Linked DNA regions of Drosophila melanogaster. The protein of the gene in region 3 interacts with the protein of the main gene of each other region in a pairwise test. Each region holds a gene or a part of one and is shown on either strand. Other genes may lie near its edges.

Region 1 (4,599 bases), on a different chromosome or scaffold from region 3:
AGCGTTGGAGCCATTTCCATTCTAATGGCCAAGACAAATCGTTCGTACGTACATTCGCTTTCAGCCAAGAAAAACGACCGACACGCGATGGCCGAAAATTGGAGGAAACCGCAGCATTTAATTATTTTGCTATAAAACTTTTCACGATTCAATCAATTCAGATTCGGTACAACATGGCGTATGCGTAATGGGATTCAGCTATATTTTTCCCCGCATTGTTTGTAAAATTGTGTGGTGGCGTGAATTGTTTGTAGAACTTGGGCTTTGGTTGGCGATGTAAATGTGAATGACAGATCATTTTAAAGTTTAGTTGGTTTTTGTTCATGCGGAAAATGAAAAGAAATATATATAAGGTATAGTACTCAATCTCACGCCGGGTTATCAGGGAGACTAGAATATAAAGCCCCGCTGGGATTTTCTTCTTGCTGATTAAAGTTCAAGTCTTATCAGTTAATTGAAATAAGTTCAAAGCAATTGCATTTGCTCTCTTGGGTTTTCCGAAAAAGTGTACAAGTATTCAATAAACTGATCAAGCTGAATTGACTCTTGAAAACAAACATAATTAGTATAAGTTTGTTATATTATTTTACAGTAAAAATAGTTTTGAATCGATTACTGGTGGGTGAAAATACTATAGCTTACATGAAGCTTCTCATTGTGTATTCTTTAAATTTTAATTTAAATTTTAATTTAAAGAATAAGTAATTCAAAGGTTTCTGATAATTCTTAGCAACATATATTTAACCAGCTCTATCCAGAGTTCATCGTTTTGACCGTTTCTCAATTGTTTACCAATTAGACTTGCACCCTACACACAAATGTGTGTACAGGCTGTGACCTTCCTTCTCCCGCTGGCATTTAATTTACAATAACTTTCAATTCGGAAACAAGTCTGCTTAATACAATTGGCAAAGTTATAGCTAGACTGCGACTTTATACTGTATGTAAGCAATCGCACACACATGGACCAAAAGGTGTGAAAAGTGCGGACTTTGTTTGTGTTTTATTTTCTACAATTACCGAAAACAATTCCGCTGCCGTTGGCATCATCGGTTCATCGCCCAATACAAGTTAGATAGCTGCTGGCTGGGAGCAGATAAATCGATATTTGAGTAAGTTTTGACCATGACTGTTCCATTTCATTCTATTTTTATGGATTCCGAAACGGCCAAATGGCCGAATGTTTTGCGTGCGGATAAGGCAAAAGTCTTAAAGACTTTATGCCATTTCGTGTCTTTCGATTGCAGTTTCAGTTCCACGGTTCAGGTTGTATATTCCTTTGATTACAAATGAAATAAACGAAATCTTCCAGATGCCACCGCAAATTTTTATAAACTTTTGCCGTGCCGATTTCAGTTGTAAAAATATTTACATTTTGTTAATATAAATATTTGCATTTGCTTCGATTTTTTTTTTTTTGACCATTGAATTCCTCTTCTTTTTGGCTCCTCTTGAGCAGATTTTCTTTCACATTTGGAAAGTTATTTAAAGACTAACTGAGTAGCTATATTCTTCCAATTTTTTATATCAACGCCTAAATTATTTCCAATACAACAGCTTGAAATGTGAAAACGTCACAAACAGCTTTGGCACTATAATTTTGAGATAAGAGTTATAATGTTTATAATTGCATACATTATTGCTCTTGGGAGGAAATGTCTACTCTAGGGTGCAGTTCCGGCATATGTTATGTGCAAATGTACAAATCTGAACCAGTATGTTAATGATTTTTCGTAGTCGACCAATAAAACAAGAAAGAAACACTGGGACTACTAGTAAATGTCGTACTGAGTGTTATTCTCTTTTAATAAATCGCAGTCAACCGCCTTTCTTGTTTTCATTTGCATATATTATACGCCTGTTGGGTTGCAAAACTGCAGTTACACTAGCAGAAATATATATTTGCTGATAAGCAAAAACATACCATATTTTAATAAATATTTACGAAGTATTGCACAAAGTCTATATTTAATGTATTGATATAGCTATGCCTATAATCTTTCGGGTGTTTAGGTTCAAATCAAACAGGAAGTAGATTAAAGAAGTCACAAAAATATTTAAAATATTTCCCGCATGGACAAAAAAAACAAAATAAAAATAATACACTAAAAATTAAAATTTTTTGTCGTTTTTTTTTGCGATTACGCAGTCTAGTGAACCCGGCCGTATTCCCGTTTTTCACTTCACTATTAATAAATACAAATTTCATTACACGTGGCATTAGATAAGTAATTGCCCGCATCGGAAAATTGTGTACTTATTTATGTATCTGGGATTAAAATTTATGAATTCCGCCGAGTTGCTGGCACGTAGTTTTTTGCAGTGCCATTGCAATCGAACCTGACACGGGAAGCTGTCTGTACCTAAGTTTCTAAAGCCGCCTTCTGGACCGGGGACTTTACAAACTACGCCTTAAGCTAGCTAGCTGACTATAGTTTCAGAAAATTTATTATAGCTAACCTTTTATGGTGTAGTAGGTAGGCTGCTTTAAATGCTTGATTAAATTTGGATTCTCGATCCGAATGCACTGGGTCAGACAGAAATCGAATTAGCTCTTTGTTGTGTTGACACGTGTAATTGATTAAATTTGTCTTTTATGATTGACTGGTTTTCGGTTTATGTGTCGGACTTATCGCGCGCGACTCACAAAAGGCGCGCCAAAAAAATTATGAAGAAATTGAAAACAAAAACAAAAGTTGCTCCCACAAGCGACGTTGTTGCTCCGCTCATGTATTTTACTTTTGAGTTTTGTTTAATTTTTGCTATTGACACTGCAGCCGCCTGTTTAGAGCGGACATTGATTTATACACACATCTGTAGTTTACGTTGTAGTTGTCGTGCTTCGTATAATTAACCAATACACTGGCAGCTATATAGTCGCGTGCGACTTGCACAATATGCGTTATATGTACATCTATATGTATATATATATGTATGGATATCTATGTGTGAACAAGTCGGCGCTTCACGTCCGTCGGCGGCCAAGTTCAGATTGAAACTGAGCGGTTCGCTTCACACTCGGCTGCAAGAGAGCTTCGGAATGGCTTCGATAGCTCAGGCTCCATTCTCAGCTGTTCGCTCTCTGCGATCGCATGCATTCGGTTCGTATACTTGATACGTATACGTGATACGTATACGTGATAAAAAGTTACCGCTGCTGATATGATGGTTGCTGATCGCAACTGACGGAGGGTGCCAATATCTGTTTTTATTTTCGAAACTGCTTCACTTTTCCTTTATTTATTTTCATTTCCGTTGTGCGTACTCAATGTTTCGTTCTCTCTAATGTATTTGTGTTCAAGTGCGTTCCTATGACGCCATCGAGCAGAAAAAATGGTTATAGATTTTTAAGTGGATTTGGAAAAGTGTTGAGATTTTTATAACGCTCTGCAGGTGTTCCAATTTCGATTTTCGGCTATAAGTAAACATTGATTCCCTTACAAAAAAATGTGTACTTTTTGCTGGGAATGAAAATTTATTGTTATGAATGGTTTGGAAATATCATAAAAATTCAAAATACCTAAGATGTTATTTCACATGAACTCTTTTCTCATTAAAAATTCGTTTAAAATAGTGCACAGGTTTCTGGACAAATCAAGATCAAAGGTTTATTATAAGATCAGATAGGAGGAAAAGTTTTTCTTTATGTGAATCATTCGCCATTCTGGAATGAGAAGCCGAAAAAAATCGACAACTATTAGCCAGATGCATAACAATAGATCTATTTATCTAATATAGGTATGACAGCTGAATGTTTTTATTGATTTTCCCAGGAATTGACAGACCTGAAACGAGTTCGACCCTCGGCAAATGTAAATTATAAAATCCATACAACGTTGCTAATTCACGCCAACAAAATTCCCAAATGAGACCGAAAAAAGATTCGCCAACGTCTAAGGTCGAACTGAGTTATTAACTCAATTTTTGGCTTCTGTTCCATAGACAGATTTTAGTCATTGAAATAAACACAAGTGCAGACCAAACACGTAGGGGAAAAATATTTGCAGTTAACATTGCCAATCGGGTGGAAATATTTCATTATTGTTGTGCATGAATGAAAATAGTATAATTTATTTCTGCTAGCCCACGAAAATTTCGAACTAAAAACACAGTTTTCATGTAGCGTGGGCTCGTCTGCGGACAAAATGCATTTTGGGAGCAAATTTCCCGGCCGCAATTTACATCTATATAGGATTGCAACAAAGCCAAGAATACCTCAGGACGTGCAAAAATAAACTAAACTATTTCAGCTCTGGGGTTTGAGAAATTTTAAGTTAGGAAAACAGATATTTATTTATTTAGCAATTTATTGAGCAAATATGAATATTTAGATATAGATGAAAATATAGTACGACAATTTGTATAACTTTTTGAACATGTTATTATCAAATTTACAATTGTAATCCACACTTTTATTCTATTATTTTAAAATTTCTTGCTCTTTATGGCTAGGGATCACTGTAGAAGGATTTTAGTTGCGATTGTGCTTTTAGCCATACATGTATGACAAATGCCCCATGACGTAGTAGCCACTTTCAGTAAACATATCAGACGTCACAGAAATCTCCAACTCTTTATTAAGCTCCCCGAAGAAGAAGA
Region 2 (5,347 bases), on a different chromosome or scaffold from region 3:
AAATTCGAATATGGAGTTTTGTATGAATTTCCTTAAAGCTCCTATTTTACTCACCAATTGAAGGATCCGCAGCCCAAGGATTGGGGCTTCCGAGTGCTTCTCCATTCTGTTCGCTGCCAATTAAAATCAAAGCCTTCGCATCTAGCTGCTGGGGTGGCAGAACTTCACCCCAAGTCCTTGGTTCTTTTTGGAGTTGCTTCGTTAGCGGGACACTTCCAATAGTTATGGGCATGTGAAGGGACTGGCCGCCATGACAACCTTTAACTCTGGCCTCCGCTTCCACCTGATAGCCGATCTGAATGATGCTGCATAGATTAAAGCAGGTTGGCGGAGTTGGCGGCACCTTAAGATCGAAGGTAAACTGCTGCCGGCATTTGGTCGACACACCTCCGCCTGTTTTCAGGACCATCTCAAAACGGTCCTTGTTGGTGTCCGCGGACGGGGGTTGACTGTAGTAAATCACCACCATAGTCAGTTTTACGGTTATGTCCTCCACGGCTACACCACTGTCATTGGAGACCATCACCTCCACCGGCACGATCTGTCCTGGCACAAAGCCACTCTGTGGAACAGAAAGTCGCATACTGAGTGGCGACGAGCGGCAGGGAAAACAGCAGAAAGTTCGCTGGGACTCCACTTGACTAGGTACCTAAAATTTATAAAATATAAAAATATAAAATTTTATACTTGACCATGGTACAACCAAAGACACTAGAATTAGACATTATTCTAATGTCTTTGGTACAACACATGGTACAGTGGACTATTCCATAGTGTGTGGAGAGACTAAGAAACATACCCTCAGCATTAGGCTTTCGGAGTTCAGGTCCATCACTTTGATCACAGTGAAGCATCGATTAAAGTTCAGATCGAACTTCCACGGACGCACGAACCTCACGTTCACCAGATAACGTATCCGACCTAGTGTCCCCTCGAAAGAAGAGGGACATGTGATGGGCAACTGACAGGCGAATCTATACGAGCTGGTGCCAGGCTCAATAAGCACCTCTGAAATGGAGCTTTGATTTCATTATCTCTAGATTTATGGTGATTTATCATCTTCGAACATACCTATGCTGGAACTAGACCCGTGCAGATAAGCCCTAGTGGCCAAGTAGTCCACATGTCCGTTGAATGATTCACCATTCGACTGATCATCCGGATCGTGTTCGGTATCCGCCCAGTGGGTTTCGGCATATCCCTTGATGTTAAGGATTACAGCTGAAGTAAAAATAAAAGCTATTTTAAGCCCCTGCAACACTTGCACTTCAAATCAATTAAGTCTTTTAGCAAGTAACGTTTGTTTTGAGTAGAGCAAAATGAATCAGCGCCTTACCTTTCACTGACTTTTCCTTCTCAGTTTTAATGACCACCTGTCCTGAAATCAACTGGCCTGCATAAAAAATTCCTTGGGAATTATTGCAGAACTCAATCTCACAGATTACCATTGTGCGGAATAATTTGTATGATAATCCGGGAGCTGTTTAACTTTTGCCCTGTCTGTGTCGTGGCTCCCAACAAACTGAAGTCACCCGCTGCGGCTATTTTTATTTTATTTTTTGTGCAGCATTTATTTGGCCAACATTTTTATTTTATCTTATCAATGCGATAGGTATCTCAGTATTTAAACACAAATTTTTACCATTGCTATCGGAGTATTTACATATGTAAGTGACAGCAATTTGAGAAGTACGAAATTGGCAGGCAGAACTGATCGATGAGGGCCAGTTTTCCCAAGGTTGAGATAGCGATGATAGGGCGTTGTACCAATAAAGAAATAGAGGATAATGGAGTCCCTGATTTATCGCATAAGTTGTTAATAAATTAATGAAGGAATTTCTCTCAACTGGCCGCGTTGCCAACTATCCAGATAGACAAATATTGCAGTGGGTTTTGTACTGAGTTGAGCCGATAAGATAATGCCAGCCGACGGTAAAACTGAAAATGAGAGTCCAGGCCATGTTAGCAATACAGTTGGCCCAGTTCGTGTTTAGCAGCGGGCGCGTTAGGATCGCTCGCAAATCTAAAAGCTCTGGAGAGGCATAAGCCCATTACCTATTCGCCAACATGTCGAAGAACTGCATGATAACGTTCGACCAGAATGAGCACGGCACCTACTTCACCGGCCAGGTGATAACCGGCAAGGTGATTGTCAATCTGAACAAGACCAAGAAACTGCGAGGTAAGTAAGACCAACTAGGATACCCCAACAGTACGGAAACTAGTGGGGGCTTTCGCTTATCGAGCGCGGCGTATCTTATCGCTTCGGATAATGTCAGGTTTGGCAAAAGCAAAAGATTCAACAAACCATTGAAATGGGTAATTAAGTGATAACTATGCGGACACTCCAAATGTGCGATAATTGATGATTCCTGGAGCCGAAGGGGAGCGATAACAACCTTACTTATAGTTGGGGATCTACCCAACGAATTATATTTTCTTTCGAGGAAATACCAGGGAACTTACTCACGGTTTTCGTCTGGGCTTTGCAGTGATATGGACAACAAGTTTTGTTGATTCTTCGAAATATATGTTTTCTACTTCTATTTAAAAAAAAAAAGGTTAATTTTTGTCTTTAAGTTATTTCATTTCCATTTTGCATCTGCGTGCTTGCAGCCCAAATCAAATATTTAAACAATTTGAATAATTTTATAGTGTGCGTCAACAGTTTCCGTATTAGTTAAATTTAAAATGCCCCTAAGACGCTTTTATTAACTGTTTTTGGAAATGTCTTTCAGTGCTTCTCGCTTTTGTTTTATCTTATCCTAATATTACCCCTACCTTATGAGGTAACCCAAAGAGATAAACAAAGTGAGCTAGTTTTATTAGGAAGCCCGTTGTATTTTTTTTTAACTTTTTTATTAAGGTACTGATTTCTTTGTCTATATTATAGCCTATATTATAGTATTATTATGGAAATATTATAAATGTTAGTCAGCACATCTCATATTTCTCTGTTAAGAAGTCATGTTATTGAAGATCTACATATTCTAATATTTCTTGTCTTTTAGGAATAAAACTGCAAATAAGTGGCTATGCGCAAGCCCAGTGGCGCATCCGCAGACATGGTAAGGCGGTGGCAATCCAAAACCCCAAGAAGCGATCAAAGCACCAGTACAGCGGGCGGGAGGACTATATAGCCTCCACCACTTACCTCATGGGTTCCGAGCAGGGCAGCAACTTTAACATGGACGCCGGCACGTACACCTACACTTTTGCTTGCCCCATTCCCAGCCACTGCCCCTCGTCCTTCGAGGGTGCCTATGGACACATCCGGTATCTGGCCAAGGTCACCTTTTTGAAGCCAGGAGCTTCCAATCGCACCCACAACGTGGGCTTCACTGTGCTAAAGCTGCTGGACTTGAACCAGGAGACCAAGATGCTCCGGGAACCGGCGAGCAATGAAGCCGTGGAACACTTTTGCCTGATGCACACGAAGCCCGTGCAGTTGAAGGTCACTCTCCAGCAGCAGGGCTATGTTCCGGGTCAGTTCATGTTGATCCACGCCCATGTGCGTAATGACTCCAGCTCCGATTGTCGGAAGCTACTGATCATGCTGCATTTGAGAGCCACATACACGGCGGATACGCCCTCGCTACGCACCACATCCGAGAAGATAATGCTGGTGAAGCGCGAGTGCGGTCCGGTGGCTCATAATGCGCAGAGGACTTACACGGAAACCCTGAGGATTCCGGCAACGGCGCCCACCTGCGAGCACCTAAGCAAGGTGGTGCGCGTATCTTACGAAGTGCGTGTGGTGGCTGTTATGAACTGGCTTATGGCTAATCCCCGGCTCATAATCCCTGTGACTATTGGCAACGTGCCCCTGGCAACTGCGGTGTCCGGACCGGACTTCCTGCCAACTAACGCCTTCCCATCTGGAAGTTCGCTGCCTGCCGACTTGCCATGCACCTCTACAAGGGCCATGGAACTGGCTCAGATGGCCGCAAGCGGGGTCAGCAACTCCGGCTACGAGATGGCCGAGGATCTAGAGGACTTCGAGCTTCCAGAGGATGGAGATGATGAGTTGGAGGCCGCCGACGATTTCGTACCAGATTTACGTGAGTACAAGAGAACAAAATATTTCTAGCTAGGACTTTGTTATGAAAGATGTTAAATAGAGCCCTTATGTATATGTTCTTTATATTTTTGTTATGCTATTGTGAGGCGATAGTTTCATTCTTCATTCTCCATATTTTTTATGTCATTTTTTCTATAGCTCCTCCTACCTACGAGCAGGCCATGTTCATGACCACTGATATTGCGGACACGGACGCGAACACGGTCAGCGAGGCCTCCCGATTTACTCCACGCTATCCGGTCTTCGATGTGGACACCTTCCAGAGCCCGCCGCCAAATCCTCCCCAGAAGAAAAGGCGCCGCCGACGCAGACGTCCTGCCGATCCTGGACAGTCGAAGCAACAACCGGAGAAACAACCAGTGGAGTCACCCGTGCAGATCTGAGGGCAGTTATCGCGAAAAATCACGACTATATCTTATCTCGGCAGTATTTATTTCTTTTACGGTTCGCCAGTGTACTTACCAAAATGTTTACTATATATGTATGTATATCGGAATGATAAACAACCCAGAATATAAAAGTGTCTACTGGGTGATACGCGATAAATTGCGACTATAGCCTAGACAACCAAGTCCATGAAGGCATTGAACTACAAATTTATTTATTCATTTATAAATTAAATTGAGTGGAGGACTTCTAGCTCAGTCCGTGAGTTTAAATACTTATGAGAGCTAGAAATTTTGATTTACGCATACATGCTCCCAATTTCTAATTCTATTGCTTGACAATTTCCATTAAAATGCAAAAAAAAAATGTATAACTTCCTCTCTATCTGAGTAACAGGTATCTGATCCGGCCCATTCCGAATTATATAGAATATATAGCATAGAAACGGACATGCATTTATCGCCTTAATACTGATCAAACATTCTCTCGACTGTCAAGATACCCTTTGGTTGCTACGCACCACGATAGAAAATCAGGAACTTCTTGGACTTTTGCGCGTTTGTAAATGAGTACAAATCATCATTAACAAACGTAATCAACTATCACAGACTTAAGTCCATAGACGACTTAACTTGATGTGATTCTTTTTCACCGTATTTCGTCCAAAAAATAATAACAACGCGATAATAACAACTCAACTAAACTAGAGCTTTCACAGAACCCACCTGATTTTTGTTTACAAATTTTTAGATTTGTTGTTGCCTTATTCTTCGTAACAAAACAAACAAAAAAGAGAACCGTTTATCAAAATCCGATGCCTCTCAATTTTGTTTTTTTTTTTTAGTGAGCGGAAGCCCCAAAAGCTCGCTCACCAGAAAA
Region 3 (4,718 bases):
GGAAATGCTCGAATGGCTCTTCTTAAATTTCTCACTCGAGTGAATTGAATAACTTGTAATCTTCGATTACTCACTATTATTTTTTGAGAAACACCCCAAAAACGACCTTAGTTCTCGCAGTGTAATCACTGAGAAAAGTCAATGGGCTTGAACTCTTTAAGTGATGCCACTACCCTCATTTTCTTTCTTTCTGTCTCTTTCCCTCCCGCTTCCGACTGCAATCAGCGATATTCATTATCTCAGCCAAAGTCGCTGCACTCTGCACTCAGTTTTCCTCCAAACCATCGGCTTTGCCTTCAAAACACAATTCTTTGGCTTGACTTTTTTTAAATCTGGGAATTTAAAGGATGAATTTTTCGAATCTAATTGCAAACAGCTTTTAATAATATGACCCTGTTATCGTGAATTTCTTTACCATTTCTTCTAATATTTACATATATTAGCTATTTTGATAAAATATTATTGGAACCCATTGCTGTATTCAATATATGTGTAACTAGACCCAATATCTCTGTATATTTCACGCCCAAAAAGATCCAGAGCACTTATCACTAATCAGTTTAGAGCTCTAAAATGAATTGTTTGTTTGCCCTAAAACATTTGATGCTTAAATGCAAATAATGTTTAAAGTAAAAAAAACCCCAATGCATTTCATCTGACTAGAATTCCACAGTGCTGCTTCTGCTTTTGAGCTTTGTTTTTCGTTGATATACGGAGATGAGTCACTAACCGATCCACCAAACCATGTCGGTCCTCTCGTAACCCCCGTCCTTATCCCTCGGACTCAAAATGATGGCCATGACTGGGTGAAGAGAGCGGAGAGGGGCGAGAAACCCCAGAGAAAACCCCGGAGAAACAGAAACAGGTTGGCGGCCAGTCGAGAATTGTGTAACGATCGTCGACTTCCTCACCTACGCCTCACAGGTGCCGCCAGGTAGATGGAATGTGGAACATGGTGTGTGGAATATGGAATGTGCTCAGTTCACACTGGCAAAAAATAGTAGCCACTGATTTTGGGAATTTAAAATATTACAAGAATTCTACAATTCCTTCTTACTGAAAAACCAAAACGGAAATATGCAAAATTTCATTTTACATATATTAATATATGTATATTCTATCTTTTTTTTTCAAGTGCACAGTTATCCCGAACGGAAGGCGAGAGTGAGCCTAATGGAGTTAAGGTGCCAAGAAACGAGGGTCCGTGCATTAATCTTTCGATCGGCGTAAGTGGGGAAATCATGTTTATCTCGATGGTAGATCTTGAAATCTTCTTCGGGGGCTTCGTATTATTCGTAATTCTTTGATCTAGGATCGCCGCCATTAATCATAATCGGCTTGGGGCGGAAAGGGGAAACCGGTTAGGGGTTTTAGGTGCTTAAAACATGTTTCGCATTCTCCAACACCACCAATTGTTGTTACAGCGTCATTTAAATAAAACTGATTCAAATCCAGTCGAGAGTAGCCTACCACCATATTTCAAAATACAACAGATTTGGATCGTTAGGTACCACAAATGTTGGTTGGTTGGTAGGTAAAAGCGTTTTCACGGTGTTGTTAATCATACTTTGGTCTAGAATCAGGGTCAATGGTCAATGGTTGTCTTGTTTGCTTGGACAATAACCTGTATTATTAATTTTCAATTCTTTATAATCATGTTTGGGTTGTCCTTTAAAAGATAATTTTACAGAACATTCTATAAGATATTCATTTCTCTGATAAAAAACACACAAATTATACAGAAACCGAATTTATTTAAATAGAAAATCTTGATTAATTACTTGCGTGATATATTAACAATCCGAGAAATAATTTAACAAAGAGCCATACACTTAATTGTTCCAAACTATTTGAATTTTAATAGCAAACAAAAGGCTTGTGGAATTCTTCATAACTGATTGACTGTGTTTTCACTAATATAATTGTTGTGGTCTCATTAGGAGCATTTCTCTGAACTAATTAGCTTTCTACAAAATAAACAATTCTTAAATTGAATCCCTAGGGTCTGAAGGTTCTGAAGCATAGTTATTAATAAATAAGTGAATAAACTATTTAGAAGCCTGACATCACTGGGCTTGTTGTTCATTTTGGAAATTTTGAAAGTATATATTTCAAATCCTTCATGACTTAAGAAATGCTTGCGATTCACTTTAAAGTGTTAAAATTTCATTAATAAAATGTTTTTATGTACTGATACGAATCACCAAAATGCAGCAATAGCATAGAAAAAATATATTGATACCGAATTCATATACTTTTTTAAAAATTTTCATTCAGAAAATCCGTTTCGTTATAAATAGCTATAAAAATAGCTGTAGCACAACCAATTGAATATTATATTTTTTAATATGATTATGATATATATTTTGTTGAACCCAATTAACTAAGTTTAACTTCAAACACTGGCAAAATACACAGTTTATAGTTTGATTCCTCAAATACAAAAAAAACAAAACCGCAAAACTTTGGTTTTTCGGGCGCCTTGGTGATAAACTTGCATACTTTTGGGCATTCGATCGAGACCTTCTTGACCCCGTCAATAAAACCTGTCCAAATTGTGCAGCCCCCAAGGAGACAGCAATGCAATCAGTGTGGATTGTGGGTAATCCGCTGATTTGCCTATGCCGATGATTCATCGCCGTTCATTTTCAGATGGCGCGACAAATGAATAAATGACGATGAATGCCATTGTAAAAGCAATATACTGTAATTCACAAGAAACACATGAGCACACACACCCATATTATGGGCGAAAGGAAGGAACAAATAAAACGGGATTGGTCCCGTTATCTCGCAGCGCTTATCTCACTTTCTCTCCAATTTCCCCAAATGCACTGTTTTATTATTAAAACTATTGTAGATCGATCGAGGCACTTGGTGGGCTTCAATACCGAAACCCGAGCACCAAAACAAAAAGCACCGATTTTGGCCAGCACTGATAAGCCGAGCTTTAAATGGGAGCATTACGAAATTGGGCTTGAGGTGGGGCTCTCCATCAAATCGGGAGCTGCAGGCGCGACGCGTTCGCGAATTTAACAGAATATCAACTGAAATTGAACTCAAGATGCCGCCGAGAATTTTCTTGGGTGGCGGTCCGCCTCGTAAGCGATTGACGTCGCAGTCGCCGCGCAGTCGCAGTCGCAGTCGCAGTCGACGCCACGAGTCGGTGGCGGTGGCTATGGCTATGGCGATGCCGACCTCCGGTCACCCAGGGAACTCGAGCACTCCACACTAGTCAGCAAAAGTGGGCACTAACCCCCAAAGCCCGCAACAAAATTTTGTTGCTTCCGATGAAAAAGCAAGTTGGGAATTATAAGCGGGTAATTTCAAATATTTCAGATATTCAAATGAAATATAATACATATATTACAGGATATATCAGTATTTTTAAAAACTATAAATGCTAACTATATATGCCAGCCTTACAAAATTATATCATCAATAAGTTTCTTTAGAATAAAACTTTTTAAATTAATATAAGATTCAATAGAAATTCTTGCCTTGTCTAATACATTTCTTACAGTTATTTACTTTTATAGGCAAAGTCTATGGATCATTATTATGACCATGACTATGGACCATTATGAGCTGTGATTCATCATCGGTGAAACTATGACTCATGTCAACCGAGCTTGAAACTATCCTTCGTACCCATGTCATGCTGACCAGTGTGGGCCAGAGATCAGTGATGGGGAGGCAAAAGCCCAGAACAGAACAGAACAGCGCAGAGCAGAACAAACCTAAAACTGAACTGAAACCGAACCACATGTGTGTAATGGAACATGGGCAACATGTGTGGCTCTGTCTGGCTGTGCGCCACCACATTCACGAATGTGCGTGTGTGTGTAAGGGTTGGGGGTGGCATGGGCTAATGAGGGGGTGAGAGGGTAAGGGTGGGGCGTGGCAGCGACAAAAGACGCTTTTTATACTCAACGCCCGTTGCCTAATTAAGCATATCGAGTGCGGTCCCTGAAGGAGGGTGGTAAAGGGGGGGGGGGTGCTGTCGAGGGTTGGGAGTTTGTTTTTCAGTTCGGCTGAGTTGGGAGTAGGGGGTGCAAAAAAAGGGGGGGGCTGGGGTCGGTTCTGGGACCGCAGAGGGGGCGGTGCTGGGCGGGTGGATCGAGCTGTGTAAGTAACCATGATGAATGCTAAACACTGTTCAATTTATGCACAACAGTTGCGTAAACCGATTACGATATGCATATACATATGTACATACATACTTTTGCTCAACACTTTATTGCAAGCAATTCCGATATGAAAATGAGAACTGCACTTTCAGCACGAACCGTAAGCTCTCTTATTTCTTATTGAATTTTGAAACCAATCCTCATAATCCTGTTCCTCATAATACTGCTCGCAATCATGTTTTGAAGATCCATATAGTACACGACCGATATTTACAAAAATCGGAATCCATATAAAACAGAACCGGGAGCAAATAGAGAAAGAAAAGATGAGGATGCATCTTTGGGGAAAAAACAACAATTCCGGGGAAGAGACTTAAAAAATAGGCGAATGAGAGTGAGACTGAGAATGAAAATAAAAATAAAAATGAAAATGAAAATAAAAATGAAAATGAGCAGAGGCCGGCGAAGAATCGCATTGCAGCCGATGTTCAGCAATATGGTCGCTTGATCTTTGAACTAAATTAATTAAGCACAATGAACACAATTGTTGTTGTTGGCTTCGCTGCCGACGGCATCAAATGTATCCAC
Region 4 (4,884 bases), on a different chromosome or scaffold from region 3:
ACGTTGCCGATGTTCACCAGCTTGATGTGATCCGCCTCGATGGACTTCAGCGCCGTGGTGGCGTTCTCCAAATAATGATGCTGGTTGGCGGGTCGGCGATTCCACGAGGGTTTCAGTGGACGCGTCTGCAGATTCTCCACAAGGGCGCACAGACAAGTGCCATCGCAGAAATCGGTGGCCCAGTCATGAACCTGAGAGACAATGGGAATTTGCATTAACTTCTCCGTATCATTAGAAATAGTAATGGGAAAGTTTGTGGCAAATAATTAGATTACTGCTGGAATACATTCCGTTTAGCAACGCAAGTAATGTGGCAAGTAAGAGATGGGAGTGCATTCCATAATAGGTTTATTATTATAATTGCATTTAATATGATATTAGCTTTTTACGGTCTAATGGATTTGCAAAATGTACTTTTATTAAGTGGGTAGTTTTTACTTTTCCATTCTATATAGATTTAATTTTAAAAAGCATGCTAACCCAAAACAAAAAAATGTTCGAAAGAAGAGATTTTTTATCTTTATTTAATGACTCTAGCAGCATTTTCTTTATAGCTATGCATTAGTTGAGATTACTAGACTTGCTGTAGTACATATGTACATAGTTCCCAATGGAGATTAGCAAATGTGCGAAACGCCTACCATGTCTGCGCAAATGCAAGAAGGTCGCTTGACTGGCAGCCTTCCTAATGAGCAATCAACGCCCCTTCCGCAAACTGGTGGCCCACTTTGCAAGGTAAACCGCTTGCTCGGAACTTGGAGCATGGAGCTCAGATCTCGGAACATGGCACATGGAGCTCAAGAATGGGCTTGGGAACCCAACAGGTTCGCTGCTCCGAACTGAGCGGCTTTCTCCGCCCGGGTGCAACCAATTGTGCGCGATTTTAAGCATTTGACATAAAGCTTTTTATCTGGCTGCTGTCGGCATTCGATTCGACTGGGGGGAACTCCACTCCACTCCACTCAACTCAACTCAACAAATAAAATACGACAAAAAACTGGAGAACTGGGTACGGAGACAATCGCGTGTCTGTTGCTGTTTGTTTGTGCCTAGGAAAATATTCATTGGATGCCATAAAAATCTCACATCGCACATATGTAGTTGCTCCATGGCTCTCTAACAAGCTGCCGCAGGTTGTTATTTGTCGCTGCTGTTATTCCGCCCTTAAATTTTTAAGATTCCTCTGATTTTACGATATGAACTCGAGTTTCGTTGGGAGTTGCGTTTTCACCTAACAAAATATATATGTACTTTTATTTGCATATAAATTTTTGCTATATGTCAGAAAATGTCTAGTCATTCTATTACGACAGTTCCATGGTGGCAATCATTTTGAGATAATTTAATTCTACCTGCCGCAACTGTTGTTGCACTGCATTAAAACGTTAAGGTCATACAATGCAGTCACTTTGAATATTTCTCTCCGTGTATCTGCTCCCATCAAAGCATTTCCCTTTTGTTTGCACATGCATTTGTCATACAAAGTGGATTGCAATATTATTTGTCGCATACGCATGAACTAGAATTGTAAACAGCGTAAAAAACGCAAACTTGGATGACTCGTTTTGGTTTGGTGACCCAAATAGACGCCAGCCAGGTCACAATTAGCGCTGTTTACTAAGGGGTCTTCAGCCTTGCTCATCACATATGTACACATACACGTATGTATGTACGTTTTTGGCCCAACCGAAAAAGTAAAAAAAAAAAAATAAAACCCCGAATTTTATACTCGAAACCGGGCAAGATCGCGCACAAAAGCTTTAGCTTGTTTTGTGTATTGTAACTGCTAATGGGAACTCGATGCGTTGGCCTTGGCATTCAACCGGCCAAATATGGTCGGTTCAGGTCGTTTCAGTGCGGTGCGTGTGAGAAAATCCGTCGAAGCGAGTGACAGTTCAAAAGTCCCTGGACAAATGAAATGCATTGTTGGCAGTACACATAAGTCCGTGTGAGTACTCTTGGCATCATTGTTAATGTAATTGTCGTTGCTGCCATTGGAGTTCAAGATCTGCGTGGGCGATTGAGCCGAGTTTTATGAGCCCGGCCTTTTAGGGAAACTCGCGGAAGAGCTCGAAGCCCCAGTTTATGATGGCGATTTATACTTTTACGTGTTCTGTCACCAGTCAATGCGCTCGTTATGCGATTATATTTAGCTTAAATGGGATCAGTATATGAACTTCAAAAACCTTGCTTTTAAAGTGCTTCTTAATTGCGATTTATAATAATCGAAAATTTTATTTGTATAGAGTTCAATTAAAAAGTGTTCATTATTTCACATATTCATATTTTGTTTTCTATCCCTAATTACACTTCATTAAGCAGTGCCACTTTTTCTATGTGCAACTGCCTTCGCAAATCATTTCCTGGCTAAAATTCCAGATCTAAACGTTTTGTATTTCACTCATCGATTCTCAGGCCCTGCTTCATCAATAGTTCTACGAATTCCACATTCAACGGAGCTAGCCCATTGATTGGGTAATTGTTTTTTGCGCTTGATCGATCAGATATTCAGTCGGCGGCAGGCATTACTCAGTCGGTTAGAAAGTGTTGCATAATCGGAATGTAAATATATCTACAATATATCTATGGCTTAACTCACCTGCATTCCCGTTTCACGCAAATGCTCGTTGACCCAGTTGCGGAATGTGTTCGCCTGGATCTCTACCCAGAGGTCCTCGTTGCCCCGTATGTTCATACCCTTGGCGGCGGTGCCCTCGGGACTCCGGGCCACCAGACCGGCATGGGTGATCTTCTGCGTTTCGGTGGTTCCATCGGAGTTGTGCTTGAGCAGCCCCGCATGCGTCACCTTGGCGCCTTTTATGTCCTTGACGTCCATCTTCACTGCACGTCACTGCACTTCACCTGCGACTCGCACATATGTATGTACAGATGTAACTCGCGTTCGAAACACTGATCGGGAGAAATGGATAGATCGCGATGAGATACTTCTGATCGCTGTAAGTTGTAGCTATGCTATTCAGTTTCGGTTTCAGTATCAGTTTTAGTTTCGTTTGCACGCGCTCGCGGCCCGAAGCGAACTGGAACTGCGCTTAGCTGGTCGATCTGGGCGGCTCTGCTCTCTTGGCCTGGCCAAAACAAACGATGACGTCATGGCCAAAGCTCAAAGCTCCAGAGAGCAGCAGGAGAATTTATAAAAAAAAATGCGGGGGGTTTCGCCAGCGAATGTGTGTGTGCGAATATCTCTGAATCTGGCTATAAAGCAAAACTGGTTTCGTCGCTTCCAAGCCAAAACGAAGCGAGCGAAAAGGAAAATTGAATACAAAAATAACAAAAAGGCGAAAATAATACAAAAAAAAAGAGTCTGTAAAATAACAGAAATCACTTAGTTTGGAATTTCGCCGCGGCAACAGCAGGCAAAAAGCGAGCAGATCTGGTGGGCAGTACTGTGGATGCCAGTGGTTGTCGTGAATGTGGCTGTTTGGGCAAGTCTTTCACAAACGTTAGAAGGCCAACATGTGTGTAAACGTGGGAGCCACCCCAGAAGATAATGGACGTAATCACAGCAATGAAATCTGCCACGATCAATTGTCAATTGTTCGCCCGTTTTCACTTGTCGCACTTTTACCCAAACAATTTGTGCAAACCGAAAGTTGGCCGTCTGAATGGCCTTTTTGGCATTTTTCCACACGGCGTTGCGAAGACAACGAGGCGTCAAATGACCGTCTAACCAACTTAATTATAGGAAATCCGGTTGCGTTTCTAAACAAGTCAATTGCCACAGATCGCATATATCATAGCACGTCCAGTTCTGAGCGAGGCTGGTATGCAGATTTTGAATACGAATACGAATACTATTTATTGACAAACACTTTTCGGAGAGGTAAACAACTCTGGGATGACATCACTCATCACTTGCTCGGCACAGCGATGAGTTGTGGCTTGAGCACTTTTTTAACGCCCCGACAGGAGAATACAGTGCGAGAAAATCATGCTGACTAATATTACAAAAGACAGTTGACGTAGCTAATCTAGTAACTCTTCAATGGAATTCCTCTTAAAACATCAATTAACTACTTAAATACACCGCTTTGCCGCAAACTAATTTGTACCTTAATTTATTTTAAGCAGAGATGTCATTGTTGTGTTTTTGTCTCAGTGACAAAACTGCGTGGCTTGGATGAAATAAATTAACCAGCGGGGACAGCAAAAAGTGGAAATTAATGAATTGCTCCTCGGACTTATGAGTGATCCCGTGGCTGATGTCATTTACTGACACTTGACATTGGCAATGAACCTAATTAGTTGCACTCGCCAGCGGAGTGGAATGAGCCCCACTACTCGGCGAGTTCTATAGATTCAGCTGGCGGCAAGGTCATGGGAATGGTCATGATAATGGTATTGGTGGTGCTATTGGCCAAGGGGAATGGGAATGGTAATGGTAATGGGAATGACCAATCCGCTTCTTAGTTTACTCAGTTGGTCAGCAGGTAAATATCGAAAGTGTTGTCGTGACTTTAAATGGCAGAAGAGGGCCAGCTAGCACACCTAGTTTAGGGCATTACGTAATGGCCGAAATTTTCGACTTTGAATGGGCAAAAGTGTACGTATCGTAGGCTACAAATCGGTGTATCTATATCACAGAATGCGATGTGCACGTAGGTGTCTGGCATTTTTTACACTTTTCGATTTGTTTGCTGTCCGAATATACATTCGTATATACTTATTTCGCTTTTTGCCTTGCAAACCCACACGGCCAGCCAAATCTCGTAGTCGTCGTCATCGGGACAGCCACCCACATGGTTGGTTGGTTCAACGCCTCGTTCTAGACGTGGGTGCGATTTCAAGTTTGATTTGTGCCAAAACCGTGTACCAAATGGCCATTGATTTCTCAATGATTCTGTAGTGGCTGCCTAGCTACAACTC

The links.
Region 1: the proteins of RhoGAP18B (region 3) and Dif interact in a two-hybrid assay, tested with the Drosophila melanogaster proteins (one large-scale study listed by BioGRID).
Region 2: the proteins of RhoGAP18B (region 3) and CG10086 interact in a two-hybrid assay, tested with the Drosophila melanogaster proteins (one large-scale study listed by BioGRID).
Region 4: the proteins of RhoGAP18B (region 3) and jbug interact in a two-hybrid assay, tested with the Drosophila melanogaster proteins (one large-scale study listed by BioGRID).

What each region holds. Positions count from the first base shown.
Region 1 is NT_033779.5:17,425,196-17,429,794, forward strand, and holds the start of Dif (Dorsal-related immunity factor), read right to left. Parts: upstream 3,005-4,599; 5' UTR 2,461-3,004; intron 1-2,460.
Region 2 is NT_033777.3:7,788,660-7,794,006, forward strand, and holds CG10086 (uncharacterized protein), read left to right. Parts: upstream 1-1,973; 5' UTR 1,974-2,067; coding exon 2,068-2,182; intron 2,183-3,011; coding exon 3,012-4,061; intron 4,062-4,219; coding exon 4,220-4,464; 3' UTR 4,465-4,824; downstream 4,825-5,347. Other genes in the region: CG18746 (uncharacterized protein), read right to left, coding at 55-649, 800-1,008, 1,072-1,221, 1,337-1,448.
Region 3 is NC_004354.4:19,155,153-19,159,870, forward strand, and holds the start of RhoGAP18B (Rho GTPase activating protein at 18B), read right to left. Parts: upstream 3,050-4,718; 5' UTR 2,968-3,049; intron 1-2,967.
Region 4 is NT_033778.4:22,734,006-22,738,889, forward strand, and holds the start of jbug (jitterbug), read right to left. Parts: upstream 3,041-4,884; 5' UTR 2,837-3,040; coding exon 2,600-2,836; intron 192-2,599; coding exon 1-191.